2 linked regions of the Macaca fascicularis genome follow. The protein of the gene in region 1 interacts with the protein of each later gene in a pairwise test. Links are inferred from orthologs where the notes say so. Each region holds a gene or a part of one and is shown in the gene's direction. Other genes may lie near its edges.

Region 1 (16,023 bases):
TTGAAAATATCATAAATCCAAAATGCACTCAGGTCAGGTGAGGTGGCTCATGCCTATAATCCCAGCACTTTGGGAGGCCGAGGAGGAGGGGGTATTGCTTGAGCCCAGATGTTTGAGACCAGCCCGAGCAACATAGTGAGAACTCATCTCCACAAAAAACTTTTTAAAAAAGCAAAATTAGGCCAGGCGCGGTGGCTTATGCCTGTAATCCCAGCACTTTGGGAGGCCAAGTCGGGCAGATCATGAGGACAGGAGATCGAAACCAGCCTGGCCAACATAGTAAAACCCCGTCTCTACTAAAAATACAAAAATTAGCAGGGTGTGGTGGCGCGCGGCTGTAGTCCCAGCTACTTGGGAGGCTGAGGCAGGAGAATCGCTTGAACCCAGGAGGTAGAGGCTGCAACGAGCCGAGATCGCCCTGCTGCATACTAGCCAGGGTGACAGTGTGAGACTTCGTCTCAAAAAAAAAAAAAAAAGCAAAATTAGCTGGGCATAGTGGTGTGAGCCTGTAATACTAGCTACTTGGGTGGCTGAGGTGGGAGGATCACTTGAGCCCAGGAGTTGGAGGCTGCAGTGAGCCAAGGTTGCACTAGTGTACTCCAGTCTGGGTAACACAGCAGGACCTTGTCTCAAAAAAAGAAAATAAAACGCATTTAATACACCTAATCTACTGAACATCATAGCTTAGTCTAGCCTACTTTAAACACGCTCAGAACACTTACCTTAGCCTACAGTTGTGCAAAATCATGAAAAACAAGCCTATGTCATAATAAAGTGCTGAAAACCCTATGGAATTTATTGAACACTATACTGCAAGTGAAAAACAAAACGGTTATACTGGGGACTGGAAATACGGTTTCTACTGAACACAGATCGCTTTCACACGGTTGGAAAGTAGAAAAATCATGTCAGACCATTGTAAGTTGGGGAGTGTCTGTACTCACTCAATATATGACCCCAAGCCTTGTGGAATGCCACGTGGGGGTCTATTATGTCCTTCCATAGCCAAGAATAGGTCTAGCAGGAACTCCGGTTCCTTTGAGGATACCGACAGTTTCACTTTCTTTTGTTTCTCCATCCTCCCCCATCCCCCCCACCCCACCAGCCTGCCAAGCCCGCCCAGCCAGCAGGGTCTTCTCGTGCCCTCCTCTCTCCGTCTCTGGCCCCAGCTGGTCGAGATGAATACAGCGTCAGTGTCTGAGCCACAGGGATATTCCAAGGTCCAGCCTTGTGAAGCCTTCTGATCCTTGTCTTCCCTGCCTTACTTCGCTCTATCCTTCTCATTTCAGCCCTGGCTGGATTTTCCTGCTGTGTGGTTACATGTCAGGGTCCTGGAGCCAGACCTCCTGGGTCCCACCCCAGTTCCAGCAGCAATTAGTGCTGCGCCTGTGGCAAGTTGCTTGTTTCTTTTGATTTCAGCTGCCTTAGTGTAAACAGGAATAAGAACAGCACGTGCCATAGTGTCGCTGTGAGCATTTACTATGAAGCACTTTCTTCTTTTTTTTATTTTTGAGACAGGGTCTCGCTCCATCTCCCAGGATAGAGTGCAGAGGCGCAATCTCAGCTCACTGCAACCTCCACCTCCTGGGTTCAAGCGATTCTCATGCCTCAGCCTCCCGAGTAGCTGGGATTACAGGCACCCACTATCATGCCCGGCTAATTTTTGTATTTTTAATAGAGGCAGGGTTTCACTATGTTGGCCAGGCTGGTCTCAAACTCCTGACCTCAGGTGATCCACCCGCCTTGGCCTCCCAAAGTGCTGGGATTAGAGGCGTGAGCCACCGTGTCCGGCCCACTGTGAAGCCCTTTCACACTGTCTGCCACACAACAACTACGGTTGGGGCTTAGAAAATGTCACCCCAATATCTGGCACTTTGGCATACTAAGTACTGTAAACTAAAGAAGACTGGAGGCCTCAAAAGCAAGGTCTCTGTGACCGCCTCCTGACCTCCTGTCTCCAGCCCCTCCTTCTCCCCTGAGGCAGTCACAGAACAATAATTCCTCCTTTGGCCGGGGTGGCTCAAGTCTTTAATCCCAGCACTTTGGGAAGCCGAGGCAGGTGGATCACTTGAGCCCAGGAGTTTGAGACCAGCTTGGGCAACATGGCAAACCCTGTCTGTATAAAAAATACAAAAATTGGCCGGGCGCGGTGGCTCAAGCCTGTAATCCCAGCACTTTGGGAGGCCGAGGCGGGCAGATCACAAGGTCAGGAGATCGAGACCACAGTGAAACCCCATCTCTACTAAAAATACAAAAAAAAAATTAGCCGGGCGCGGTGGCGGGCGCCTGTAGTCCCAGCTACTCAGGAGGCTGAGGCAGGAGAATGGCGGGAACCCGGGAGGCGGAGCTTGCAGTGAGCCGAGATCGCGCCACTGCACTCCAGCCTGGGCAACAGCGTGAGACTCCGTCTCAAAAAAAAAAAAAAAAAAAAAATACAAAAATTAGCCAGTCATGGTGGTACGTGCCTCTAATCCCAGCTATTCAGGAGGCTGAAGTGGGAGGATCACCCGAGCCCAGGAGGTTGAGGCTGCAGTGAGCCATGATAACACCATTGCACTCCAGCTTGGGTAACAGAGCAAGACCATGTCTCAAGAAAAAAAAAAAATCCTTCTTCTCCAAGGTGGGTCACAGAAACTAGAACCTGTGTCTCCAAAGTAGCCATAAAACCTAGAAAGGTGGCTCTCCCCCTTCTCTCCTTGAAGACCTCATTACAGAAAGGTTCTACCCTGTAACCAGGAGGAAGGAATGCTGCATGGAGAGGCTAGGAAGACTCTGGACAAGCCTTGTTCATTCTCTTTTTACCCAACTGCATTGCTACAGGGCTGTTCATTCTTTTTATTTTTTTCTTTTAATTTTTTTATTTTGATTTTATTTTAATTTTATTTTTATTTTTATTTTATTTAAAAAAAAATCTTTTTTTGAGACAGAGTCTCACTCTGCCACCCAGGCTGGAGTGCAGTGGCATGATCTCAGCTCACTGCAAGTTCCACCTCCCGGGTTCACACCATTCTACTGCCTCAGCCTCCCGAGTAGCTGGGACTACAGGCGCCCACCACCACACCCGGCTAATTTTTTTGTATTTTTAGTAGAGATAGAGTTTCACCATGTTAGCCAGGATGGTCTCGATCTCCTGACCTCGTGATCCACCTGCCTCGGCCTCCCAAAGTGCTAGGATTACAGGTGTGAGCCACCGCGCCCGGCCTCAGGGCTGTTCATTCTTCCTTGAAACTAAGCACAAAAACAGACAGATTTCCCTGGGACTTTGAGTCTTCATCTCTGAAGCCTCCCATGTCACATAAAGCTTTGCTTAACTAAACTTGGTATGCTTTTCTCTTGTTAAGCAGTTTTGTTTTTTTTTTACAGGCATGTCAGCTGTGACCTTTATGATGGGTGAGGAAAGGTATCACACCCTTCCACCCCTACAGTACTTAGTAAATGTCAGCTTTAATCCTAGGAGTTGTTTTGCTTTTTTTTTTGTTGTTTTGACATGGACTCTCACTCTGTTGCCCAGGCTAGAGTGCAGTGGCATGATCTCAGCTCACTCCAACCTCCACCTCCCAGGTTCAAGCAATTCTCCTGCCTCAGCCTTCCAAGTAGCTGGGACTACAGGTGCACGCCCCCATACCCAGCTAATTTTTGTGTTTTTAGTAGAGACAGGGTTTCATCATTGTTGGCCAGGATGATCTCAAACTCCTGACCTTAAGTGATCCACTGGCCTCAGCCTCCCAAAGTGTTAGGATTACAGGCATGAGCCACCGCGCCCGGCCTGTTTTTCATTTTCTCCTTACAAAGTGATCACAATTTTATTATATACCTAAAGGCTTGGATTAAATCCCTCTAGAATCTGGAGTGTATGAGAAATATTTTTTAGAAGGAAATTGATCAGGTCAGGCACTGTGGCTCACGCTTGAAATCCCAGCACTTTGGGAGGCCGAGGCAGGCGGATCACCTGAAGTCAGAAGTTTGAGATCAGCCTGGCCAACATGGCAAAACCCCATCTCTACTAAAAATACAAAAATCATCTGAGCATGGTGGCACTTGCCTGTAATCCCAGCTACTCAGGAGGCTGAGGCAGGAGAAAAGCTTGAACCTGGGAGACAGAGGTTGCAGTGAGCTGAGCTCACACCGCTGCACTCCAGCCTCGGTGACACAGCGAGACTCCATCTCAAAAAAAAGATAAGTAATAATAACATAATATTCTAATATTGATCACTTACTGAGAAATTACTCTCTTCTAAGTACTTTACTGATAACAATGATTAATTACCAATAATGAACTAATAATAATAGCAACCAGTCCTAAATCAAACTGGATGTAGCCATTTGGCTGGTCTCTAATTTACCCACTCATTACAACGGCAGATGTTGGATGGCCCTTCCCCCTAGACTGGGGGCATCTGTGCCTCCTAAGAGGGTATTAAGTTAGGGCTATGGGCCCTGCAGCCCTGCAAAACTCTCCTCGTCCATCCAGAGAAACCCTTTCTTTGCATTTGGAGAGACTATGGGACTTAATAATATCTAAGGACTCACCCAGGCAGTTTTGTAGGTTCTCACCTGGTTTCCCCCATCCTAGGAACAAGACCAAGTGCTCAGGTGTACCCTGAAGGTGTCCATACCTAGGTGACACTAAACAAAAGCTGGTGTTCTCTAAAGGAAAGTAGATGTTAGGAAGGGACCTGGAGGTAGTGTGGATTAATGTTCTTGTTGGGGTGGGGGGATGCTGTGGTCAACAATCTTTAAGAGAGGTGCCAGGCGAGGCAGGAGACAACCCATTCTTTCCTCATGCACAATTGGGGGAGGAATTTCTTTTTTTTTTTTTTTTTTAATTTTTTTGAGACGGAGTCTCGCTCTGTCGCCCAGGCTGGAGTGCAGTGGCGTGACCTCGGCTCACTACAAGCTCCATCCCGCTGGGTTCACGCCATTCTCCTGCCTCAGCCTCCCGTGTAGCTGGGACTACAGGTGCCCACCACCACGCCTGGCTTTTTTTTTTTTTTTTTTTTTGGATTTTTAGTAGAGACGGGGTTTCAGTGTGTTAGCCAGGATGGTCTCGATCTCCTGACCTCGTGATCCACCCATCTCAGCCTCCCAAAGTGCTGGGATTATAGGCGTGAGCCACCGCGCCGGCAGGGGAGGAATTTCTTATGGTTTTTCAACTAGAGTTTTCTAAAACTTTTGGTATGCTGATTAAAGTGGGCTCCCACTAATTTGGCTCCTCAGGTGTTGTTTTTTGTTTGTTTGTTTGTTTGTTTTTCCCAGACAAGGTCTCACCCTGTCGCTCAGGCTGGAGTGCAGTGTCATGCAGCCTCCGCGGTTCAAGCGATTCTCGTGCCCCAGCCTCCTGAGTAGCTGGGACTACAGGTATGCACCACCATACCCTGTTAATTTTGGTATTTTTAGTAGAGATGGGGTTTCACCATGTTGGCCAGGCTGGTCTCGAACTCCTGAGTTCAAGTGATCCACCCACCTTGGCCTCCCAAAGTACTGGGATAACAGGGGTAAGCCACTGCGCCCAGCCTCCTCTTATGTTGATAATAACAATAGCTTGTGTGTCCTGCCCATTTACTAAGTGCCAGGCACTGTTCTCTCCTAGACCAAACGGTAGTTAGGCTCCTCTGAGTCCTCAGCTTGACTAGGCCTTGACTTTGGACCTCTGTGTCTTCCTGTCCTTGCTGGGCCTGAGCCTGCATAAACCAGTTTCAGCAAGAGTCCTGCTAAGTTAGCAAGAACTCCCCCTTCCTTGATGTCTCCTCCCAGGAATCTTCCATCCCTGGTTCCCTCACTCTGCACTTTAGCTATAAATCCCTCCTGGGTCCTTGTTGTATTCAGTGTTGAGCCCAAACTCTCACTCCATGGCAATAACCCTACAGCAAGTCTTGAACAGTACTGGTTTAACTGTCCCAATAACGTTTTCTTTAGCAACAGCGGTTAGCTCATTTACTCTCACAAGGATCATATGAGGTAGGTATCCTAAATAGCCCATTTACACAGGGAAGTGGGAAGGAGAGAGGGTGCCCCCAAGGACGAGACACAAGCTGTTGCCACATCAGCACTTTGCGCCTGGACGGTACCCCAGTTGTCCTGGCTGCAGGCAGTCCCCACAGCCCGCTTCCTGGAGTATTAGCCAGGCAAGATACGCCCTGGGCGACAGAAACTCCGACTTTTGCCAGAGGCCCCCAGGTACTGCCTGGGCGGTGGCGGGAGCCTGGAGCTTGGCGGAAGGCGCGCCTGCCGACGCCGTCTCCTAGCAACCGAGCGGCGGTCACGTGACCCGCTCCAGCCCGCTTCACGTGGTCCGGAGCGGCGCTGGGGTTGGAGTCGCCGCAAAGGGCGGGGCGGGGCCGGGCAAGTTTGTTCCCCGAGTTCGGAGCCCAGGAGCCCCCGCGGCTGCCGCGCAGGTGCCCTCGGCCTGGGTCGAGATGGAGCTGCCTGCTGTGAACCTGAAGGTGGCAACGGGCTGGGGATGGGGGGTCCCCTTTGCGGGAGGAGGTGGGACATTTGCATTTTCCAGGAAGGTGGGAGGATCGGGAGTTTGGGGGAAAGAGGGATGGGAGGAAGGGAAGGTACAGACCTCACGCGAGAAGGAGGTGGGCAGGCAGGCCACAGCAGGGAGAGTGAGTCAGGCACAGGCCAGCAGGGCGACGCAGAGGGGCCGTTGGAGGTGGCAGAGGAGGGCAAGGGCCGCCCCTTCCCGGACTCAGACCCTCCAGCAGGCAGCGCTGGTCCCAGGATTGCTGTTGCCCGCATGCCCAGAATTCCCCTGGAGGAGGAGGAAGGCGCGCGGGAGGGGCTTGGAGGCGGCTCACCTCCCCCGCGCGGGGTCAGGGACTGGGCCTGCCCCCGGATCCCAGCACCGTCCCAGGACCTCCTTATTTGCTAAGTCGGGTTCAGGAAATCTGATGTTCCCAAGCAATTGGTTTTATTTTATTTTATTTTATTTTGTTGAGACAGAGTCTTGCTTTGTCGCCCAGCCTGGAGTGCAGTGGCCGGATCTCAGCTCACTGCAAGCTCCGCCTCCCGGGTTCACGCCATTCTCCTGCCTCAGCCTCCTGAGTAGCTGGGACTACAGGCGCCCGCCACCTCGCCCGGCTAGGTTTTTGTATTTTTTAGTAGAGACGGGGTTTCACCGTGTTAGCCAGGATGGTCTCGATCTCTTGACCTTGTGATCCGCCCGTCTCGGCCTCCCAAAGTGCTGGGATTACAGGCTTGAGCCACCGCGCCCGGCCAGCAATTGGTTTTATAAAATTTACACGTCCAGCGCCCTTATTTCATAATGAAGAAGCACAAACTCCCACAGAAATTACTTAAAAGCAGAAAACCCCAACTTTGTGCACTGGGGAAAACGTTGCAGGGCTTCCTGTGGTGTCTTCATTTCCCGAGCCAAGCCGTGAGCTCAGTCCGGGTCTGGGTGCCAGCGGCTGTTCTTCTTTTTCTCCCCACCCAGCACCGTCGCCCACGTGTCTGGGCTCCGTTTGCATGAGAGGGGCTAGGAGCTTTAGCTTTGGTCAGGAAGGTGTGGACCTTGGACCAAACCGGCCATTTTGGGTCTTAGTGCATCCTCCTTTGAGGCAATATCTAGGAATGTCCTCTTACTCATAAGTGACGAAGCATTTAGCTCCCTGTTGGTGTCTGGCAGTAAAGGAACCTGAGAGATAGATGGTTACAAAACAATGGCTTAATACACTTTATTACACAACATCTGTGCTGACTTGCCATGGGCCCGTTTCCCTTCTTAATCATACTTGCTTCAGCAAACCTTCCTGAAGCTTCCAGTCCACGGTGGTGGGGAGACATGGCTGGAGCAGGGAAATGGGCTTGGGTGGAACATTCAGCTGGGAAGAAATTTACGTGACAGCAACCGAAGTTTGTTGGTATCAGTACCCACTCTATTCCAGGCAACATGGGGTTAACACCAACTGCCTTTTCTCTGATGAGGGATTTGCTTAAAATAATTGCTGAGAGAGGATCAGGTGAGGGCGGTGGGAGGGATAGAGCTCTCATTTATGGGCTTCTGTGGTGTGCCAGGTTATATAATCAAGGCAGCCTTATGAGAAAGCTGATGTGGTCATCTTTTTACAGATGAGCAAACTTCAGCTTAGACTGGGTAAGTTGCCAAGGTCCCACAGGCAGTAAGTGGCAGTATCAGGATTTGAACCCATAGGGCTCAGACTCCAGGGCCAGGTCCTTTCTGGGGTACCAGCTTAGTTAGGGCTGACTTTAACCTTGGCTGTTTCTGTCTTTTGGGAGGGCTTAGTCTCTTAGGGGCTTTTTTGAGCAACTTTTTAGGCCCGACAGGCTAAGCGCATCCACAAGTATGAGCTATGCTGGGCAGCTCAGCCAGGATGAAAAGGCTGGTCCTCCCCTTGACTTGGCAAACAAGATCCCCCATCTCCAAGGGTGTCAGCCGCTACCAGTCAGAGACAACTAAGTGCTGGGTGGCCCTGAGGGGTCAGGGTTGCCAGGTCAGGTACAGGAGATCCAGGTGAATTTGAATTTCAGGTCAACAACGAACAGTTTTTTAGTATGAGTAAGTCTCAGGCAGTATGTGGAATATATTAACAAATTATTCATGATCTCATATTGGGAATTAACTGGGTGTTCTGTATTTTTGTTTGCTGAATCTGGCCATCCTGTGGAGAGCAGCCGTTGACTCCTTGCTTGCAGGCACTTAGGGGATGTTCTGAGATCAGAGCCCTTCAGGAGGTGGGGAACTGCTCCCTGCGGCCTGCGCTCCCTCATTTTGTATATTCCTTGGGCAAGGGCTGAGTGCCCGCTTCTGCCCAGCTCAACCAGAGTGGGCGGTGGTGCCAGGTGAGAAGAAACAGCTGCCCCAGGCCCTTTGCACAAAGGGCAGCCCCTGACTGAGCCTTGTCCATGTAAGAATGACATTGTGGGCCAGGTGTGGTGACTAAGCCCTGTCCATGCAAGAATGACATTGTGGGCCAGGTGCGGTGGCTCACTCCTGTAATCCCAGCACTTTGGGGGGCCAAGGTGGGTGGATCACGAGGTCAGGAGATCAAGACCATCCTGGCTAACATGGTGAAACCCCGTCTCTACTGAAAATACAAAAACAAAATGAGCCGGGCATGGTGGTGGGCACCTGTAGTCCCAGCTACTCGGGCGGCTGAGGCGGGAGAATGGCATGAACCTAGGAGGCATAGCTTGCAGCGAGCTGAGATCGCGCCACTGTACTCCAGCCTGGGCGACAGAACGAGACTCCGTCTCAAAAAAAAAAAAAAAGAAAAGAAAAAGAATGACATTGTGATGAGCTTAGAAAGTACTGGACTTGGGTTCAGAGGTCTTGTGGGAAGAGGACCTTGGGAGGAGGATCCTTTGGTCTAGCAGGTAGTGTAGCATTAGGGTTAAGAACTCAATAATGAACTCAGTAATGAGGGATGCAGGGCTGACTTCCTGACAGGCACTGTGTGGAGCGCTTTCCACACCTCTCCACCTCCCTGTACCACTGGATCCACACAACACTGAAGAAGGCATTATTGCCCTGCTTTACAGAAGAGCAAACAGCTGTTCTGAGAGGTCAGGTGACTTGCCCAAGGTCATTAGGTTCTAAAGTCATGGAGCCAGGATCAGATCCACCCGTTTGCCTCCAGCACCCACGAAGTTAACCGCTGCACGACTCTGCCTCCCATCTGTGGCAGCCCTGACTGGTGTCCCGGGACCCCGGCCACCCTGGGGGATCTCACTAGCACATGTAACGGGCCACCAAGTGTTTGCACAGGCCTGGTAGGAGTATATTCCATTTCTGGGAAGTCCTACCCCGCCATGGGTCCTCTAGTGGCAAACAAAGGGTTGAAGTCTTGGTCTTCATGCCTCGTTGGTTTCTCTTCGACCTTTCCTTCTCCAGGTTAGACTTCCTTATTTCCATCCGCCCTCTACGGCTCTTCGAGATCCTGGCGGTGTAGCACAGTGGACAGAGCACAGGCTTTGCGGGCAGGCAGGTCTGCATTCAAGGTCTTGAGTAGGTTTCTGTGTGACCTTAAGTAGGTTTCTGAACTCTCTCAGTATCAATTTCTTCCTTGTAAAAAGAAGATAAATACAGTCCCTACCTCCTAGGATGATGGATCCCATGGTCCAGGAGGTAGTCTAGAATTAGGGTCACAAATTCAGGCTGGGCCAGGCATGGTGGCTCACGCCTGTAATCCTAGCACTTTGAGAGGCCCAGGCAGGTGGATCACTTGAGGTCAGGAGTTTGAGACCAGCCTGGCCAACATGATGTAACCCCATCTCTACTAAAAATACAAAAATTAGCCGGGTGTGGTGGTGCTCGCCTGTAGTCCCAGCTACTCAGGAGGCTGAGGCACCGAGGATCACTTGAACCTGGGAGGCAGAGGTTGCAGTGAGTTGAGATCGCACCACTGCACTCCAGCCTGGGCGACAGAGCAAGACTCTGTTTCATAAAACGGACAAACCTCCGGCTGGATAGATCGAATCTAACATTTGTGTCTGGGCTCTGTTGTTTGTAAGCTTTATGAATATGGGCCACTTTACTTAATCTCTCAGAGCCTCAGTTCTACCCCATACAGTTACACGGATGACATGAGTTAGGTGCAGTGCAGGTTAGATGCATGGCAGGCAGGTGCTTGTCAGTAGCAGGAGTTGCTGCTCTTGTTGACGATACAGGATCCCTGTCCCACATAGGTATTTAACAGTTAGTAAACGGATACTTACAGTGGCCGTCCAGACAGATGCTTGTCTCTGGCAGTTGAGGCACCCTGTGGGACAAATGGGTACTGCCTCCATTTCGCGGAAGGGAGCCTGAGGCCTTGGTGCCTGGACCAGCACCCAGGTCTTCTGTTCCAACATAGCATCCTGGGACCCTCTGCTGCCTTGGCCCATTGACCCCTGTCTGGGAAAGAGCTGGGCGGCCTCCCCTGGGCTGAGCACTGTAGTGAGAGTCCAGGGGCTGAGGTCCGTCTTTCCTGCCCAGCTGGGAAAGGGGTCCTGGCCCTGCCACCCATTTAGCTCAGGTCCTTCCCCTGCTTCCAGCTCCTCTTTCAGGCAGTACCTGAGAATCCTGTTTCTCTTTGGCTACCAGGAAGCTCTCCCAGGGCCAGCAGACAGTGCTTTTGTCCCGACAGTTACTGGCCCCTCTTTCCCTGGGCTGCCAGGAAGGGCAGGGCCCGTTTGGCTCAGTTTCTCCCTGGAGCCTTCCTGCACATTAAGGCCTCTCTGGGTGTCCTCCTGTTACAAAGATGAGGAAACTGAGGCAGGGGAGGCTTAGGCTTCTGGACATTTCTTTTCCCAGGGACTTAAGAGAAGCACATGGTGCTAACTTTCTTCATGTTTATCAAACCAAAGTGACATCACGCAGAAGGGACTGTGTGTGTTCTAAGGATCTGCAGTATTTCCAGGTTACATCGTTTTCTTCCCTAACAGAGATGGCAGAGGTGTGGACCCAGCTGGGTGCCCACTGTGTGCTACAGGCCCTTCCAGCGCTACGAGGTCTTTATCTCACAGGTTGTAAGCGTGACCCTTGGGGTGCCCTGCAGATCAGCGGCCCCCGTGGGACTCAGCCTTTCATGCTAACTGCATTCTCTCCAGAATAATCCAGGGCTCTGCAGGGCCCATTTATTAAAGACCTTTTGTGTGCACAGTCTAGGCATAGGAGCCAGAGCATTGAAAATGAAGATCATTTCCAAAACAAGCCCAGAGTGGGAAGAGTTAGGTGTCGATTTGGGGGAGGAAAAGGGCGATGGGAGCTACCTCCCCTCTGTCTCTTTCCTCGGTGTCTTCTTTAAGTCTAAAAGCTAGATGTTGGGACCACTGTGGCCGACTGCGCAGTGTGGCCCTGAGCAAGTTCCTTTCTGTCTGTGGTCCGTGGTTTACTATCAGACAGAGGAGACAGCGGTTAGCTCTGAAGATAAAGATCAGAATCATCCTCATGCCCAGCCCTGCCTGCCCCCAACTTCCTGTCCCTCCCTCCTCTTCCTTCCACTCACCTTCCACTCCAGCCACACTGGCTTCTGTTCAGTTTCCAGAAAGTTCCATGCCCCCCTTCTGCCACAGAGCCTTTGTGGGTGCCATCCCTCCTGCTCAAAATGCTCTTCTTCCCCTTCTGCCTCCCCCATCCCTTCCTCAGAGAAGCCCCTGACCTCCCCACCCTCCCAGCCTCCCTGCTGTTCAATTAGGTGCCCTTTAGCTTGCTATAGCTTTCCTTCAGGATGAGGGTTCACTGCACCTCCACTGCTAGGGCAGAGTACCTGGTTAGCGATGTTAGTCCTGAGAGCACAGCTCCAAATCTGCTCTGCACACCTCTGACTCCCCAGGGTGGATGAAAAGCAGGTGCCAGTGATGCTGGGTGACACTGAATGTTTAAGAAACTTAACACCATTTGATCACTTCAAGCCCCTAGGAATTGAAATCCATGGAAAACTATACCTCCCCGCCTCAGTTTCCCCATCTTTGTAATGGGGAGAGGCCTGATGGCTGGACAACACAGCCTGGGTCTGAGTCCTGGCTCTGCCATTGGCCTGCTCTGTGACCTTGGGCAAGTGACTTCCTTCTGAACCTCAGTTTTCTCAGCTGTAAAATGGGGATAATAAGACCTCAGAGGATTGTGAGGATTTAGTGCTTTTATATACAGAAAGCACTTAGAATGGCACCTAGCACGTAGGGAGTGCCCAATAGTAGACGAAGGTAGGTGAGGCGATGGCAAAGATCCCTTCTAGAGCTCGCCTTCTGTAAACACACTACTCAGCCTGGTCAGAGTCTCGAGATCTTCTTTTTTTTTTTTTTTTTTTTTTTTGAGATGGAGTCTCTCTCTGTTGTCCAGGCTGGAGTGCAGTGGCCGGATCTCAGCTCACTGCAAGCTCCGCCTCCCGGGTTTACGCCACTCTCCTGCCTCAGCCTCCCGAGTAGCTGGGACTACAGGCGCCCGCCACCTCGCCCGGCTAGTTTTTTGTATTTTTTTTTAGTAGAGACGGGGTTTCACCGGGTTAGCCAGGATGGTCTCGATCTCCTGACCTCGTGATCCGCCCGTCTCAGCCTCCCAAAGTGCTGGGATTACAGGCTTGAGCCACCGCGCCTGGCTGAGATCTTCTTAAAGTTTTGTGCGTCGGTCCTTACAGAATTATTTTCCTAGTCTTTTGGAGCTGGGAGAGGAATTTCTTTTGGGCCACAGAGCCAGGCCCCTTGTGGTTCACTCTGGCCCCCGGTCCTGGAGGTAAAGGTGAAGTATCTCAGCCTCCAGCTCTGGATTCCATCTGCCCCATGTGTGAACCTTTCTCACAAGCCCAAACAGTTCCCAGCTGAAGGCCCGCGTCCCCAGCGGGGAGGTTGGGTGCACTGGGTTTGGAGGTGGGTTTGAAATTTAATTCCAGTTTTGCCACTTGCTACCTGTGGAGTCTTGATCAACATAATTTATCTTTGAATCTTGTTTTCTCATCTGTGAAATGGGAATAATAGTATCTGTTCCAGAGGCTGCTGTGAGGTCCAGATAAGGTCATGTGAGACGGTTGGCATAGGGCCTGGCACATAGTTGGTGTGTGGTCAAAAGTAACTCTTCTAGAAATGTTTTTTCTCCTCTGCCAGAGCGAGTTTGTCTTTCTTTCTTTTCTTTATTTCCCTCTTTCCTTTCTTTCCCTTCTTTCCTTCCTTTCCCTTCCCCTTCCCTATCCTCTTCCCCTTCTCCTTCCCCTTCCCCCCTCCCTTCCTTCCTTCCTTCCTTCCTTCCTTCCTTCCTTCCTTCCTTCCTTCCTTCCTCCCTCCCTCCCTTCCTCCCTCCCTTCCCCCCTTCCCCCTTCCCCCCTTCCCCCTTCCCGCCTTCCGTCCTTCCCCCCTTCCTTCCTTCCTCCCTCCCTTCCTCCCTCCCTCACTCCCTCCCTTCCCCCCTTCCCCCTTCCCCCCTTCCCTCCTTCCCTCCTTCCTTCCTTCCTTCCCTCTGTCCCCCAGGCTGTAGTGCAGTGGCCCGATCTTCACTCACTGCATACTCGACCTCACTGGCTCAAGTGATTCTCCCACCTCAGCCTCCCAAGTAGCTGGGACTATAGGCGTACTCCACCATGCCTGGCTAATTTTTTGATTTTTTGTAGAGATGGGGTCTTACTTTGTTGGCCAGGTTGTTCTCGAACTCCTGGGCTCAAGCGGTCTTCCCCCTCAACCTCCTAGCGTGTTGGGATTACAGGCGTGAGCCACCGGACCCGGCCCGGAGTTCTTTTTCGCAGGTGGTGAGGGCTCCTTCTGCCTTTTCACCCAGGCTGGAAACCCCGGCCTTCTTCGCAAACCTTGCCCGTGTCTGTGCCAGCACGCTGCCTCTGCCCCAGGCGTGTGGCGTCTCTCCCTTCCAGCCTGCCCCCTCGATCCCTTGAGTAAACTTCTCCTAGGGCCCTCATTGACCACCAGGCCTGTTGAAGCTTCCAATTTGGGGCTTCCGGCCTCCCCAAAATCTCTGTGCCACCCCACCCCCACCTCAACCATCTCCACGCTCACCGCCACCCACGCAGGGCCTAGGGCTCGGCCCCACCTTTGCTTGGCTGAGCCCTGCTCATACTTTGTGCTCAACCCAGGTCCCTCCTCTTTGGAAGCTCTTGCTGCAGCTGCCTGCCCTCCCGAGGCATCTGCTTTTTTTTTTTTTTTTTTTTTTTGAGATGGAGTCTCACTCTGTTGTCCAGGCTGGAATGCAGTGGCCTGATCTGGGCTCCCTGCAACCTCTGCCTCCCAGATTCAAGCAATTTTCATGCCTCAACTTCTGGAGTAGCTGGGATTACAGGTGCCCACCACCACGCCTAGCTAATTTCTGTATTTTTAGTAGAGATGGGGTTTCACCATGTTGGCCAGGCTGGTCTCGAACTCCTGACCTCAAGTGATCTGCCTGCCTTGGCCTCCCAAAGTGCTGGGATTACAGGCTTGAGCCACCGCGCCCGGCCCATCTGCCCTTTTTTTATGTGCTTTCCAGTCAGGGCCTTGTTGATGTCCTGGAGTAGAGACCAGTTCCAGGAGAGGAGGCTGTTATTTTAAGGACATAGAGGGCATTAAAAAGGGTAAAATATTGTAGTCAGGTGCAGTGGCTCCTGCCTATAATCCGAGCACTTTGGGAGACCAAGGTGGGTGGATTGCTTGAGCCCAGGAATTTGAGACTAGCCTAGTTAACATAGGGAGACCTCATCTCTACAAAAAAAAAAAAAAAAAAAAAATAGCTGGGCCTGGAGGTACACACCTGTAGTCCCAGCTACTGGGGAGGCCGAAGCAGGAGGATCACTTAAGCCCAGGAGTTCAAGGCTGCAGTGAGCTGCGATGGTGCCACTGAACTCCAGCCTGACCCACAGAGCAAGACCCTGTCTCAAAATTAAAAAAGAAGAAAGTAGAATATTGCAGAAATCCAGAAGAATAGCCAGAGGGATTTTTGTTGTTGTTGTTTTTCGTTACCATAAGACATACCAAGCTGTCTCCCTGTAGAAAAGTCTCAGTGGCGTCCCTCACTGCACTTGGCATGAAGCCCACGCTCCTTCCCAAGGCCCTCAGGCCCCCCTACCTGTCCCCAGCCACCCTCCCTTTGCTGGCTTTCTCCAGCCACAACAGCTGCTTTCCCCTCTGCCCCCACACAGTGCCCCAGCTCCAGTGTCCCAAGAAATCACCCTCATGTGAGCCCCCACCCCACCACTCTGCCTCTTCTGATTTCAGAGCAGATTCCCTGCACTCCACAAAGGAGCCTCCCGCCCTTGTGTTACAGGAAGCGGGTCCCGATCCAGACCCCAAGAGAGGGTTCTTGGATCTCGCACAAGAAAGAATTCAGGGCGAGTCCATAGAGTAAAGTGAAAGCAAGTTTATTAAGAAAGTAAAAGAATAAAAGAATGGCTACTCCATAGGCAGAGCATCCCTGAGGGCTGCTGCTTGCCCTTTTATTTTTTTAATTAATTTGTTTGTTTGTTTGTTTATCTTTGAGATGGAGTTTCGCTCTTGTCCCCCAGGCTGGAGTGCAATGGCACGATACCGGCTCACTGCAACCTCCACCTCCCAGGTTCAAGCAATTCTCCTGTCTCAGCCTCCTGAGTAGCTGGGATTACAGGCGCA
Region 2 (15,873 bases), on another chromosome or scaffold:
TGAATTAAATTTAATTACTCCTTGATTTTATTGTCTAGTAATCCCCCTCTTTGTTTTTCCACAATAGCACATAAGTGTGTTACTCTCATCCCTCAGGAGTGTCTTTACTATAAGCCTAAAAGGGATGCTAAGCTTGCAAACTTGACTTTTATTTCTACTATTACCAGTAATCTTACTGAGGTCTCTAATGAAGCTTCACAAGTGCCTGATCTTCCTATATGCCATCCGAGTAGGGACTGGCGATATAAGTTTGAGGCCGTCCAGTGGTCACCGTACAGACAGCCTGCGCCACGTCAAGGGCCTCTGTTTGATAATGGCACCTTATTTGATTGGGGTCCCCATGGTAATCTTCTGTCTGCAAATCAGACTATTGGATTTAGAAGTCCCTCCAATAGTTCTATTACCTAGTCAGAGTGTGGCCTTTCAGGACCAGTATTACAACTGAAAGGGAAACAAGCTTTAAGCCCTGCTCATACCCAAATTTGGAGATTAGGATTTCCCTTTTTGAACGGGTTCTTTCACATGGTGAGTATATTACCAGCAGTGGCAACTATACCCTCTCTTTGCGTAATAATGTTACTGACACTCTCCTGATTTGTACTATGCACCCTTATATAATTTTGTTTGGGTAAGGTGTTCCTAACGTAGAGCAGAATCAATCCTTTTACAGTATTAAAGTCTCTTCCAGTAGTTGGTGTGCTACATGCTTGTCTCACCGAAATGTTACGCAGTTGAATATAACCTATGTCATGATCTTAAAATGATGTGTGGAATTGTGGCTACCTGTAAATTTAACCCAGAGCTGGGAAGCAGATTCCACCCTGCAGCTGTTTAGAAAAGCACTGTCTCATACTTGAAAAAATAAAAGATTTCTGGCCACTTTAATTGCCTTTTTAGTCTCAGCTATTATTATATTAGCAACTGCTGCTACTGCAGCTGTTTCTCTGACAGAATCTATTCACACAGCCTCAGTGGTGAACCACATGGTATATAATGTAACCCATGAATTTCAAGAACAGGTAAATATTGATAAAACTATTCTGTCTCACCTGAAGGCTCTTGAAGCCGCTGTTCTATAGCTGGGGAATCAATAGCAGGCATTCATTACCCGTCAACATTTACATTGTGATTGGCAATATCATTCTGTATCACACCCCTGACACATAATAGCTTCCAATATGCTTGGGAGAGAGTGAAAGCACATCTGCAAGGGGCTTATCACCACCATTTGTGTTCTCAAATTTCCACTCTTGAGTGTGAATTAAAGAAACAACTTGAGGAATGGTCGCAGCAATTACAAACAAGTACTCTTCAGCAATTAGAAGAGGCTTTCAATGGTTAAACCCGAACACTTGGTTGTCTGGTTTAAATATATGCATTTGGATGATGGCTGTTGTACTTATTCTTTTTTGTATCTGTTTGCTAGGCATTTGCAGAAGGCCCTATACTGCCACCTGATGCATCTATGACCAGGGAAGAATGATAGAAGCTTGCCTTGCATGAGATGACCAGCAAGCTTTAAGAATTAAAAAAGGGGGAGATATGGGGGGCACATGGCAACATATTCAAGCTTATGTACAAGGCATTCGAGGTCGGGGCATGGAAAAATATTGAGGCGTTGTGTGTATGTTATTTGTGCATGAGAATGAAACTCGACCCTGAAAACAGGACAAGGAGTGGAGTGTGTGGTGTGATAAGGAATGCTGAAAACAGCCTCCTGAGAATGCAGTTTGAGTGTTTTTACAAGGCCACAGGTGCCTCACGACCCGACCTCAAAAAAGCCATCTAGTGGATGTATGTGGTTTAACAAGCCCTTTCAATAAATACTTGGCGGACAGATGCTAAGGTTGACTCTCTTAGAAGAGCTGCCCCCGCCCCCGCCCTGCTCAGCTGGAATTGTCTGAGAACTCATTCTTGGCGTTCACTGCAAGCTATAAGCTCTACACCAATACTTTGGGAGACCGAGGCAGGTGGGTCACCTGAGGTTAGGAGTTTGAGATCAGTCTGGCCAACATGGTGAAACCCTGTCTCTACTAAAAATACGACAATTAGCCGGGCGTGGAAGCAGGTGCCTGTGATCCCAGCTGCTCCAGAGGTTAAGGCAGGAGAAGTGCTTGAACCTGGGAGGTGGAGGCTGCAGTGAGCCAAGATTGTGCCACTGCATTCCAGTCTGGACAACTGAGTGAGACCCTATCTTAACAAAAAAAAAAAAAAGAAAGAAAAAAAATCATATATAGAGACATGGACACAAATCCTATAGGAGAACAGATGGGAAAGCAATGAGATATGGGGAATCCCAGACACCGTAAGCATTGTAAAAGTCTCACGGAGGAGGTGCCTTTGGGCTGGGTTCCAAAAACTAGGTAAGTGTTCATGAGGTACAGAAAGTGGGGGAAGGGCGTTCCAGGCAAAATGAAAAGACCAGGAGACATGAAGTCATGAAAGAAGTGCAGCTGGCCGGGCGCGGTGGCTCATGCCTGTAATCCTAGCATTTTGGGAGGCCAAGGCGGGCATATCACGAGGTCAGGAGATCGAGACCATCCTGGCTAACACAGTGAAACCCCGTCTCTACAAAAATACAAAAAATGAGCCAGGTGTGGTGGCAGGTGCCTGTAGTCCCAGCTGCTGGGGAGGCTGAGGCAGGAGAATGGCGTGAACCCGGGAAGCGGAGCTTGCAGTGAGCCGAGATCGTGCCACTGCACTCCAGCCTGAGCGACAGAGTGAGACTCCGTCTCAAAAAAAAAAAAAAAAAAGAAAGAAATAAAGAAGTGCAGCTTAAGGGTTTGGTGTGTATGAATAGGGAAATGATAAAGTAATTTGAAGATAGTCTGTGAAGAACTTCATAGCCTTGCTTAAGATATTGGATTTTACCTTCAGGGTGGTAAGAACCTGACCATCTTCTTGTTAACTCATTTATAAGTTAATATGTTTTATTATATAATAATACAAATGAATATAATATAATACATAATATATACTATACTACATGATATCAAATATAACGTATCTGTATGTTAACTTATTAACAATATACACAAAAAAAGTTGGTCATTTATTACAACACAAGAAGGAAAGGCTGGGCATGGTGCCTCACGCCTGTAATCCCAGCACTTCGAGAGGTCGAGGTGGGTGATCACCTGAAGTCAAGAGTTCAAGACCAGCTTGGCCAACATGGTGAAACCTCGTCTCTACTAAAAATACAAAAATTAGCCGAGCGTGGTGGCGCGTGCCTGTAATCCCAGCCACTAGGGGGCGCTGAGGCAAGAGAATTGCTTGAACCCAGCAGGTAGAGGTTGAAGTGAGCCCAGATGGCGCCACTGTACTCCAGCCTGAGCAACAGAGGGAGACTGTCTCAAAAAAAAAAAAAAGAAGAAGGAAAAATCTATTTAAGATTAAAATCTGACCCGACGTGGTGGCTCACGCCTATAATCCCAGCACTTTGGGAGGCCGAGGCGGATGGATCACTTGAGGTCAGGAGTTCAAGACCAGCCTGGCCAACATGGTGAAACCCCATCTCTACTAAAAATACAAAAATTAGCTGGCTGTGGTGATGTACACCTGTAATCCCAGCTACTAGGGAGGCTGAGACAGGAGAATCATTTGAACCTGGGAGGCAGAGGTTGCAGTGAGCTGAGATCATGCCATTATGCCATTGCACTCTAGCCTGGGCGACAGAACAAGACTTCCTCTCAAAAAAAAAAAAAAAAAAAAAAAAAAAAAAAAAAAAAAGATCAGATGGGCGTGGTGGCTCACGCCTGTAATCCCAATACTTTGGGAGGCCAAGGCGGGCGGATCACCTGAGGCTGGGATTTCGAGACCAGCCTGACCAACATAGAGAAACCCCGTCTCTATTAAAAATACAAAATTAGGCCGGGCATGGTGGTTCACACCTGTAATCCCAGCATTTTGGGAGGCCGAGGTGGGAGGATCACCTAAGGCTGGGAGTTCGTGACCAGCCTGACCAACATGGAGAAACCCCATCTCTACTAAAAATACAAAATTAGCTGGGCCTGGTGGCGCATGCCTGTAATCCCAGCTACTCGGGAGGCTGAGGGAGGAGAATCACTTGAACCCCGGAGGGGCGGAGGTTGTGGTGAGCCAAGATGGTGCCATTGCACTACAGCCTGGGGCAACAAGAGTGAAACTCCGTCTCAAAAAAAAAAAAAAAATCAGCCGGGCTGGGTGGCACATGCCTATAATTTCAGCTACTCCGGAGGCTGAGGCAGGAGAATCGCTTAAACCCAGGAGGCGGAGGTTGCAGTGAGCCGAGATCCTGCCATTGCACTCCAGCCTGGGCAGCAGGAGCAAACTATTTCTCAAAGAAAAAAAAAGATTAAAATCTACTTACAAAGTATTGTTCATGGCACAGAGCTACCATGACTTCCTTACAGACAATGTATCAAATACGATCAATTCAAGTCCACCCTGTCAGTTACTGCTTGTTTTTAGAGCAGCTGTACAGAACATTTCAAGGAGAGATGGCTCTAACAAGACCAGTATACACACTAGTAAGACAGAGACAAAATGCCTTTTCTTACTGAAAACTCACTTTTTAAATTTGTTTTTTTTTTTTTTTTTTGAGACGAAGTCTTGCTCTGTCTCCCAGGCTGGAGTGCAATGGCACGATCTCTGCTCACCACAACCTCCGCCTCCTGGGTTCAAGTGATTCTCCTGCCTCAGCCTCCCAAGTAACTAGGATTACAGGTGCCCGCCACCATGCCCAGCTAATTTTTTGTAATTTCAGTGGAGACGGATTTTCACCATGTTGGCCAGGCTGTTCTTGAACTCCTGACCTCAGGTGATCCTCCTGCCTCGGCCTCCCAAAGTGCTGGAATTACAAGTGTGAGCCACCATGCCTGGCCTAAAATTTTAAAGTAGAGAGGGGGTCTCACAATGTTGTCCAGGCTGGTCTTGAACTCCTGGGCTCAAGCAGTCCTCCTGCCTTCACCTCCCAAAATGGAATTACAGGCGTGAGCCACCACATCTGGCCTACTAAAAGTTTTTTTTTTTTAATTTAATGCATCCCACTGAAAAGTTTTTTTTTGGTTTTGTAATTTGTTTGGTTTTGTTTTTGTTTTGAGACAGGGTCTCACTCTGTCACCCAGGCTGGAGTGCAGTGGCACAATCTCGGTTTGCTGCAACCTCCACCTCCCAGGTTCAAGTGATCCTCCCACCTCAGCCTCCCCAGTAGCTGAGACTACAGGCCTGAACCACCATGCCCAGCTAATTTTTTTTTTTTTTTTTTTTTTTTTTTTGAGACAGAGTCTCACTCTGTAGCCCAGGCTGGAGTGCAGTGGCACAATCTCAGCTCACTGCAACCTCCGCTTCCGTGGCTCAAGTGATTCTCGTGCTGCAGCCTCCTGAGTAGCTGGGACTACAGGTGTGTACCACCATGCCTGGCTAATTTTTCTTTTTGTATTTTAGTAGAGATGGGTTTCACCATATTGCCCAGGGTGGTCTTGAACTCCTGAGGTCAGGTGATCCACCTTCCTCGCCCTTCCAGAGTGCTGGGATTATAGGTGTGAGTCACTGCGCCTGGCTGCTAATGTTTGTATTTTTAGTAGAGACTGGGTTTCACCATGTTGGTCAAGCTAGTATTGAGCTTCTAACCTCAGGTGACCCACCCGCCTCAGCCTCCCAAAGTGCTAGGGTTACAGGCATGAGCCACCGCACCCAGCCATAATTTTTATTTTGAGATGGAGTCTCACTCTGTCACCCAGGCTGGAGTGCCACCCAGGCTGGAGTGCAGTGATGCAATTTTGGCTCATCACAACTTCCGCCTCCCAGGTTCAAGCAGCTCTCCTGCCTCAGCCTCCCAAGTAGCTGGGATTACAGGCACGCACCACCACGCCCGGTTAATTTTTATATTTTTGGTAGAGATGGGGTTTCATCATGTTGGCCAGGCAGGTCTTGAACTCCTGACCTCAAGTGATCCTCCCACCTTGGCCTCTCAAAGTGCTGGGATTGCAGATGTGAGCCACCACGCCCAGCCTGAAAAAGTTTAAATAAATAAATAAATAAAAATTTGAGGGAAGTGTTCAATTAGTGCCACATATTTTAAATGTACTTGGATCTTGAACTGTTATTTTAAAATATTATTTTTAGGGCCAGATTTCTGTTGTTATTTTTACTTAACTGGCTTCCCGAGCTTTGGTCATGAAACTGGGAGCCTTTGTTAGACAATTGTTTCCTGTGGCATGCATGAAGGGCTGTCTCTCCACATGAGAAGCAAGTCTACGGAAAATTTCCATAATTTGGAAGGCTGATCCTTATGACGTTTCTTGGGCCATCATTTAGAACCTTCATGAACCATTGAAGGGGTTCATGCTCTTTCACTCTGCACGGCATTTCTCACTTTGAGGAATCCCTGTCTTCTGGCTGCTCCTAAATTGCGGCTGCTTCCAGAGATAACTGTCTCTCTTTTCTAGGCTCTCCCCAGGGCCATCCAAAGTTAATTTTAGGGTTGGCCAGGCACGCTGGCTCACACCTGTAATCCCAGCATTTTGGGAGGCCAATGTGGGCAGATGGGCTGAGCTCAGAAGTTCCAGACCAGCCTGGGCAACGTGGCAAAACCCCGTCTTTACTAAATATACAAAAATTAGCAGGGCATGGTGGCGAGGGTGCCTTTAGTCCTAACTACTTCAGCTACTTGGGAGACTGAGGAGGAAGGATGGCTCGAGCCCGGGGAAGTCAAGGATGCAGTAAGCCAAGATCGCTCCACTGCACTCTAACCTAGGTGACAGAGCAAGACCCTGTCTCAAAAGAAGAAAAAAAATTGTTTAAAGGTTGCCATATGCTCTATATTTTAAGTCAGACCACCCCAAACAAACCTCCCAAATTTGGTGAAAATCAATCCAACCATTTTTAGTCATTTGGTAATAGAAAAAGAGAAACTTAATTTATAAATTTACCTTTCTTAATAAATAAGAGTATAAAATTTAGTTCCTTAACAACAACAGAAGAACAAAAGACAAAAGACAACAAGAGAGATCATCCTGCAAACAGCATAAGTTAACAAGACGAAAGGCAGAAGCAGAAATGTCTATTGCAACCGTGTGAGAAATGATCAGCCCCTATAAAGGACTGTAGTTCTGGGCCAGGTGCGGTAGGTGGCTCACACCTGTAATCTCAGCACTTTGGGAGGCTGAGGTGGGTGGACCACTTGAGGCCAGGAGTTCATGACCAGCATGTCCAACATGGTGAAACTCCGTCTCTACAAAAAATACAAAATTAGCCGGATGTGGTGGCAGGCACCTGTAATAGCACCACTGCCCAGCCTGGGCAACAGACGGAGACTCTGTCTCAAAAAAAAAAAAAAAAAAAGGAAGGACTGTAGTTCTGATAGGTTTGGAAAGAGGAATGATACAGACCAGGCAAGTTAAGATTTATTAGATATGAAAAGGAAGGAGAGGCAAGAGAAATGTTAAGCATCAGCTAGCTGTGCTGGGCACTGACTAGGCCCTTCGTCTATATAAACACTTTTCCTTTTCTTCCTTTTCTTTTCTTTCTTTTCCTTTTTTTTTTTTTTTTTTTTTTTTTGAGAGGGAGTCTTGCTCTGACACCCAGGCTGGAGTGCAGTGGCACGATCTCGGCTCACTGCAACCTCCGTCTCCCGGGTTCAAGTGATTCTCCTGCCTCAGCCTCCCGAGTAGCTGGGACTATAGGCGCACGTCACCACGCCTGGCTAATTTTTGTATTTTTTTAGTAGAGATGGGGTTTCACCATATTGGCCAGCCTGGTCTCAAACTACTGACCTCATGATCCACCCTCCTCAGTGTCCCAAAGTGCTGGGATTACAGGTGTGAGCCACAATGCCCATCATCTTTTCTTTTCTTTTCTTTTTTTTTTTTTTTTTTTTGAGACAGTCTCCCTCTGTCGCCCAGTCTGGAGTGTAGTGGTATGATCTCGGCTCACTGCAATATCAGCCTCCCGGGTACAAGCGATTCTCATGCCTCAGCCTTCTGAGTAGGCAGGATTACAGGCACCCACCACCACGCCCGGCTAAATTTTTGTATTTTTAGTAGAGACGGAGCTTCACCATGTTGCTCAGGCTGGTCTGGAACTCCTGACCTCAAGTGATCTGCCCACCTTAGCCTCCCAAACTGCTGGGATTACAGGCCTGAGTCACTGCGCCTGGCTCACAAACATATTTAACTATCCATAGATCTGAGAGGCAGGTTTTATTAACTCCATTTTATAGATCAGGACGCAGGCTTAGGTAAGGTGTGGCGCTATGTCTCCATAGGAGGTGGGCTGGGCCATTTGCAGTCAATGTTGGCCAGTTTTATGATGAAATTTATGACACAAAAGGGGTGTATTCACCTTTGGTATAGTATGGCCCAGGTTATTATTGCACAGATTGAATAAGATCAGTCTTCGTGTGTTGTCGTGTTGCACTGGAGGGCTATCAAGTGTGACCCCAATATATTTTTTTCTTTTCCTTTTTCTTTTTTTGAGACTATAAATCTCACTCTGTCACTTAGTATTAGGAGGACACGTTTTTCTTAAGTACCAGAAGAGTTGGTACCTAGAAAGAAATTACTCTTCAGAGTGGTGAATTATGTTGGATTTTAGGCACATTAGGCCTAAGCCAACACGACCTCCTCTAGGCGCCCTTACCCCTTCCCACAGATGGCCTAGAATTCTTTTCTGTCCAGGGGTCAGGAAAAACAAAGTTGAGAAGAAATTCGTTAACGTTCTTTGAATGCTTTAAAAGGGGAAATTTGCAAGACTAAAGAATGGATTGGAGGGGAGGTAGGTTTGGAGGAAGAAGGGGGTGGGGCCCTGAAAAGGCTTCAAGGAGCTGCTCTCAGCTGGAAGGGGATAAGCATCTTCTTGGAGAACTGTGGCATCTGGTTGGAACACCTACAAAAGCTTAAGCAATGAGGTTGTGCCCCTCTTGCAGTACAAAGCTGAAAATTATCCAAGCCAAGGGCAGATATCTCAATGTCCTTGTTACTCCATATGGCCTTGGGATTCTCCTATGGCCTTCCAGTAAAGAGCTGCTGGGTCCTGGCAAGGCTGTGGCAGTGGTGGGGTTGGGGTTAAGGATAATCCCACTTGGCCAGTGGCTGGACAGTCACCCATGTCTCTACTGTGGACCACAGGACAGCGAAGGCACCAATCGGCAGACAAGTCCCAGGTGGGAGCGAGTATAAGGATGTGTCTCCTTTTCTTCCTTCTAGAGGGTAACTGAGAGGATATGGAGGGAGCATGCATGGTGGGAGGCTGAGGATTGCCACGTTCGTTTCTTGAGTTATTGTTTGCTGTTGGGGCCCTGGGATTCTGATTGAGATCTGTAATTCTGAAGCCTTCTCACTCTTCCTGGCAGATGGCCTGTGTTTCAGTATTGAGTTTGTAAGGGTGCTATTTATGAGGCAGGAAAAGGAAAAAAAAAATGTGTTGTTGTGTTGCACCTCAGGGCTATCAAGTGTGACCCCAATATATTTTTTTCTTTTTCTTTTCTTTTTTTTTTTGAGATTATAAATCTCACTCTGTCACTTAGGCTGGAGTGCAGTGGTGAAATCACAGCTCACTGCAGCCTTGACCTCCCACCTCAGTCTCTCAAGTAGCTGGGACTACAGGCACATGCCACCACTCTTGGCTAATTAAAAATAAAATTTTTTTAAAGACAGGGTCTCCCTGTGTTGTCCAGGCTGGTCTCAAACTCCCTGGCTCAAGTGATCATTCGGCCTGGACCTCCCGAAGTGCTGGGATTACAGGCATGAGTCACCACACCCAGCCTACCACAATATTTCTTAAATCTCAGTGGCCAGACCTGGAATAGGTTGCTATTCAAAAGCAGCTTGTAGTTTTTGTTTGTTTGTTGTTTGTTTTGTTTTGTTTTGTTTTATTTGAGACAGTCTCACTCTGTTGCCAGGCTGGAGTGCAGTGGTGTGATCTCGGCTCACCGCAACCTCTGCCTCCGGGTTCAAGCAATTCTCCTGCCTCAGCCTCCAGAGTAGCTGGGATTACAGGCACGCGCCACCACGCCCAGTTAATTTTTAGTGGAGACGGGGTTTCACCATGTTGGCCAGGATGGTCTCGATCTCTTGACCTTGTGATCTGCCTGCCTCAGCCTCCCAAAGTGCTGGCATTACAGGTGTGAGCCACCGTGCCCGGCAGCAGCTTGTAGTTTTCTGATTTATGTGTTTTTTTTTTTAACTTGGAAAAAAATCGTTCTCTTAGGACGTATGATTTGTGTTTAAATGAAGACTGCTCTTTTATTTGGGAGAATCCTCTCCCAGTACTTGAGCGGGCTTCTTGGTTTGGCAAAGGCAAAGCCCAACACTCATAGTGAGTGGAAGGGACAGACGTAACTGAACTGCTCTGCACAATAATGCCAATGGTTGTCTTTTGTTAATAGGAGTCCTGACTCTGATTACATTTACGGGGAGTCCAGCCTGAAATATGTCGGGATAGAGGTAGAGGGAAAAGTCCCTTCTGTTGACAGCTTGCCAAAGGTGTTAAAAGTAAAGGGATGGCCTTGAGGTGAAGAGAATTCCTTTGCGAGACAGGCCAGGGACTATAGATGCTGCATAATCTAATAGCCACTTCTAAGTCTTCTCAGCTTTGTAATGCCCCAAACTTTCAGCAACAGCCTGGTTGGTGTTTGCTATGCTTAGGGGAATAAGGGAGGGGGCTGTGTCCACACTTAAGATTTGCTTCCATCCTCTAGGATATGACCCCAGCCCCCAGGCCAGAGTGGTGGTAGCTGCAGGTGTGTGGCTGGTGATTCTGAAGCTCTAGGTGGTGGCTTGCAGCAGAATTCTGGAATTTTTTTTTTTTTTTTTTTTTTTTTTTTGAGACAGAGTCTTGCTCTGTTGCCTAGGCTAGAGTGCAGTGATGTGATCTCCGCTCACTGCAACCTCCACCTCCCAGGTTCAAGCAATTCTCCTGTCTCAGCCTTACAAGTAGCTGGGATTACAGGAGTGTACCACCATGTAGCCACCATTAGCCATGTCTGGCTAATTTTTGTATTTTTCTTTTTTAGTAGAGATGGGGGGGTCTCACCATGTTGGCCAGGCTGGTCTTGAACTCCTGACCTCAAGTGATCCGCCTGCCTTGGCGTCCCAAAATGCTGGGATTACAGGCATGAGCCCACCACACCCGGCCTGGAATGCTGTCTATTGAGGAAAGGAAGAGGCTGAACTGGGGAATGCCAGGGTTGAAGTTCAAGCAAGTGTAAAACTCTGGCCTTAACTGAATCACGAGTAGGAAACAAGTTAGTCAGGAATGGATTTGTGGGGCATGAAAACCTTTGAGGATTCTCAGGATTGTTTGGAAGAGGGGACTGAATTTTCTGTCACTAAGTAGGGTGGGATTTGTTTTCAGTTGGTAATTTTTTGATGGGGTGCGTCAGGGTCCCACTCTGTCACCCTGGCTGGAATGCGGTGGCATGATCACGAGTCAGTGCCGCCTCAACCTCCTGGGCTCAAGCAATCGTCTCACCTCAGCCTACCAAGTAGCTGGGACTACAGGTGCATGCCACCACACCCGGCTAATTTTTGTATTTTTTGTAAAGACGGGGTTTTACTATGTTGCACAGACTGGTCTCAAACTCCTAGGCTCAAGCGATCTGCCCACCTCAGCATCCCAAAGTGCTGGGATTAAGGGCAGGAGCCACCGCGCCCGGCCTATAGTTGACAATTAACTAGAAATGTGACGTTGGAATTATAGAGGGAGGGTAACGAGACTCATTACTAGCGCAGGGTAGGAGACATTAGTGGGCCGCAGGTTTCATCCTTAAATTTCTGTGAAGCCTTTCTTGAGGACATCTGTCCTTTCCTTCTCGCCCTCAGTGTGTGGTTTTCCTTTCTCTGGCTCCCACTGCACTCTGCACACACCTTTATCACAGTAACCACTTACAGTGTATTGTAACTTGTAATTATCTATGTACACGTCTCCAAGTAGACTGACCTCAAGGGCAAGGGACTGGCGCTGGTACTCAGACCCCGGGTTCAAGTTCCAGCTGCATCTCTAGCTAGTTTTGTGATCTTAGGCAAATAACTTAATCGCTCTATGACTCAATTTCCTTGACTTATAAAATTGGCATAAGACTGTCATATGCCGTTGCTGGGCATATTAAGGTTACAATGCATGAAAAGTACGAGGCAAAAGGTAAGTGCAAAATAAAGGGCGCCTAAAACGGTATTTGTGTGTTAATTAACCTGAGCTACCTTTACGTGTGCACTCAGCAAACACTGAGCACCTATTCTCCTCTGGGACCCTGGAACGCCTCCTCCGGTGTGGAGCAGCCTCACGTGAGGCCTGTGGGCCTTGTCCCACGGGCCGGCTCGGGATTGGCTCAGCCGAAGAGAAAACCCTGCCGACAGCCCTTTCGATCTCGTCAGCGATTGGGCCGGGACCGTCCCACAATTACTCTTGTTGCTGGGCTCGGAAATAGGTAGCGGTGCTAGGTTGCGCGTGCGCAGATTGAGAATGGAGCTTTCCGGTCGGGCGGGAGGAGGTGACGTCAGGAGTGGTGGCGGGCGGGGGCCTCTGGTAGCCCTGGGGACGCTGTATCTGTGGGCCCTTCAACCGCGTCACAAATCAGCGACCGAACTCTGGCGGTGGTGGCTGAGACGGCGAAGGCGGCAGCGGCGGCGACAGCTCTGGGGTTTGCGTCTCGGGGTGTGTCGGCCGCCGCTGCTGCTCGGGCCTGGTATGTACAGATGGCTGGTTAGGATTCTCGGCACCATTTTCCGTTTCTGCGACCGGTCGGTGCCCCCTGCCCGGGCCCTCCTGAAGAGGCGGCGCTCAGACAGGTGAGACCAGAGGGGGCTGAGCGCCGGCCTGGCCTTACCCCCTCCCCCACAGCAGGCTCCTCGGCCGTGATAGCTTTGATTCAGCCAGGCTCACCCGAAGCAGGTCGCCGGGATCCTAGTGACGTAGTCGTTCCCGCCGGGCTGTGGGGAGGCAGCTCCTGATGAAGGAGGAGCTGGTCGTCTTCGGAGCGGCCGGTGATGGCAGGGTCTTTGACATTCTTGTCAGAGGCCAAGCTGGTTGCTGATAACAAATGGGGCTTTGCCGCTCTTAGGCTGAACACTAACATTGAAGGAATACTGTCTTTGTTGTGGCTCACTGTTTACAAAGCACCCTCCCAAGTGTCATCTGCAGACATTAAGTGCAGTTAAAGGAAGTGAGATTCATAGCTTGCCCAAAGCCGTTTTGACTGCAAGTACTGTCCTTGCAGCAAGAAACAGCAGCTGTTTTCTTCTAAAACAGCTGTCAAACAGTCTGTGTGTTGGGGGCCAGAAGGGTTTTGTGCTTTAGAATTAGTGAATGAGTAAAAAGGCTTAGGTGCCTCACTCCTTTAAAACAATCACTAGTCTGTACTTTTAAATTCGGTTAAAATGTGGGGGAAACTCAAAGCTGTTCTTTTCTTTCTTTTCCTTTTGGTTGAGACGGAGTCTTGCTCTGTCGCCCAGGCTGGAGTGCAGTGGCGCGATCTCGGCTCACTGCAAGCTCCGCCTCCCCCCTCCCCCCGCCCCCTCCCTGGGTTCAAGCGATTCCCCTGCCTCAGCCTCCCAAGTAACCGGAATTACAGGCGTGCACCACCATGCCTGGCTAATTTTGTGTTTTTAGTAGAGATGGGGTTTCACCATATTGGCCAGGCTGGCCTTGAACTCCTGACCTCAAGTGATCCGCCCACCCCAGCCTCTGGAAGTGCTGGGACTGCAGGCATGAGCCCCTGCACCCGGCCCCAAAAGCTGTTCTTATTTAGCATCTACTCTTTGGAGTGTCCCATTTTTATTGTATCGACCTCCTTGCCTGAAAATCTAGAAAATAAAATACTATACAAATGCTGTGCCCCTCTCCAACTTTAGTGATCAAATGTTAATTTCTTTTTTTTTTTTTTTTTTTCCGGAGACGGAGTCTCGCTCTGTCCCCCAGGCTAGAGTGCAGTGGTGCAATCTCGACTCACTGCAAGCTCCGCCTCCCGAGGTCGCGGCATTCTCCTGCCTCAGCCTCCCGAGTAGCTGGGACTACAGGCGCCCAACACCACACCCAGCTAACTTTTTTTTTTTTTTTTTTTTTTTTTTGAGACTGAGTCTGGCTCTGTCGCCCAGGCTGGAGTGCAGTGGCCGGATCTCAGCTCACTGCAAGCTCCGCCTCCCGGGTTTACGCCATTTTCCTGCCTCAGCCTCCGGAGTAGCTGGGACCACAGGCGCCCGCCACCTCGCCCGGTTAGTTTTTTGTATTTTTTAGTAGAGACGGGGTTTCACCGTGTTAGCCAGGATGGTCTCGATCTCCTGACCTTGTGATCCGCCCGTCTCAGCCTCCCAAAGTGCTGGGATTACAGGCTTGAGCCACCGTGCCCGGCTAACTTTTTTTTTTTTTTTTGAGACAGAATCTCATTTTGTTGCCCAAGCTGAAGTGCAGTGGCACGATCTCGGCTCACTGCAACCTCTGCCCACTGGGTTCAGGCGATTCTCCTGCCTCAGCCTCCCTAGTAGCTGGGATTACAGGCTCCTGCCACTGCACCCAGCTACTTTTTTTTGTACTTTTTAGTAGAGATGGGTTTTCACCATCTTGGCCAGGCTGGTCTTGAACTCCTGACCTCGTGATCCACCCACCTCGGCCTCCCAAAGTGCTGGGATTACAGGCGTGAGCCACCGCGCCCGGCCACGCCCGCCTAATTTTTTGTATTTTTAGTAGAGACGGGGTTTTACCGTGTTAGCCAGGATGGTCTGGATCTCCTGACCTCGTGATCCACCCGCCTCGACCTCCCAAAGGCTGGGATGACAGGCGTGAGCTACCGCTCCCGGCTGTTAATTTCATTTTTTTAACTAAGCCTCAATATCAAGAAAAGTGGAAGAAGTGTTCATTTGTGGGAGCTTGAGAGAACAAGATGTCTAATACATTAGACTGAGAATGCAGGTTATTGATGAGATTGGTTGTTAACTAAATTGTATCATGTGTTCCAGAGATTCATGGTTTTGCCTTATTTTTCTCTCCTATCTTTCTGTAGGGTTGATGTGAGGATCATTTGATAATGATCATTTGATGTGGTGTAAAGTGCCTAAACTGATGCTTACTGTATATAAGGGTAGTGTTTGTCTATTCTACCCTGGGGCCTTTTGCAGAGTCTGGTGCATGATAAGCACTTGGTCCCTATTTATCGAATAAGGGAAAGCTAATTTCCTCTCCCTTGTCCTGTCTTTGATGTGAATCCCTGCTAGTCGGTGGAACATGGTTTGGTGATCAAAACCTTGATTTTTACTATACTTCAGATGTTCACATTCTTAATCCAAAACAACGCTTCTCGGTGTAAACCATTTTTCAGTCAAAATGAAGCCCAGCAGGGCTTGTTGGAATGTATAAAGCTGAGTTGAATAAAATCCTGGGATCTCATTTTATTCTATTCTTTTTTTTTTTTTTTTTTGGCATGTGTGAATATAATTGATCAGAAGGGTTCAGAGAGATGATAAGTAATATGATATGACCCTTTACCATTCTTGACATCTGGGTCCTGAAACTTTCCACAATTCCAAAGTTCTTTATTACCACCATAATATAGTTTGCGTGATAAAAATGAAGTTAAATATAACCCTTGATTAAGATTTGTCTTTTTTAACTTGTAGAAGTTTTTTTTTTTTAAACTCCCTTACACACAAAAGAAAAAACAATAAAAAAGAATTGTCTTTTAAGGCCGTTCATATTAATACTGTCACTTAAAGTAAAAGATGACTTTCTTTGGGGATCATTTCAAAAGGAAATTGTTTGTTTGTTGGTTTTTTTTTGAGACAGAGTCTCGCTGTCTCGCCCAGGCTGCAGTGCAGTGGCGCGATCTCGGCTCACTGCAAGCCCCGCCTCCCGGGTTGACGCCATTCTCCCGCCTCAGCCTCCGAGTAGCTGGGACTACAGGCA

The links.
Region 2: the proteins of AGTRAP (region 1) and SENP2 interact in binary tests that used the Homo sapiens proteins (3 or more experiments, as listed by UniProt). The two-hybrid records come from large-scale screens. The link is inferred for Macaca fascicularis from reciprocal best matches to the Homo sapiens genes AGTRAP and SENP2.

Annotation. Positions count from the first base shown.
Region 1 is NC_088375.1:223,066,727-223,082,749, reverse strand, and holds the start of AGTRAP (type-1 angiotensin II receptor-associated protein), read left to right. Parts: upstream 1-6,340; 5' UTR 6,341-6,416; coding exon 6,417-6,443; intron 6,444-16,023. UniProt on the Homo sapiens protein: Appears to be a negative regulator of type-1 angiotensin II receptor-mediated signaling by regulating receptor internalization as well as mechanism of receptor desensitization such as phosphorylation.
Region 2 is NC_088376.1:97,507,015-97,522,887, forward strand, and holds the start of SENP2 (sentrin-specific protease 2), read left to right. Parts: upstream 1-8,851; 5' UTR 8,852-8,882; coding exon 8,883-9,142; intron 9,143-12,561; exon of another isoform or gene 12,562-12,666; coding exon of another isoform or gene 12,667-12,767; intron 12,768-15,873. UniProt on the Homo sapiens protein: Protease that catalyzes two essential functions in the SUMO pathway.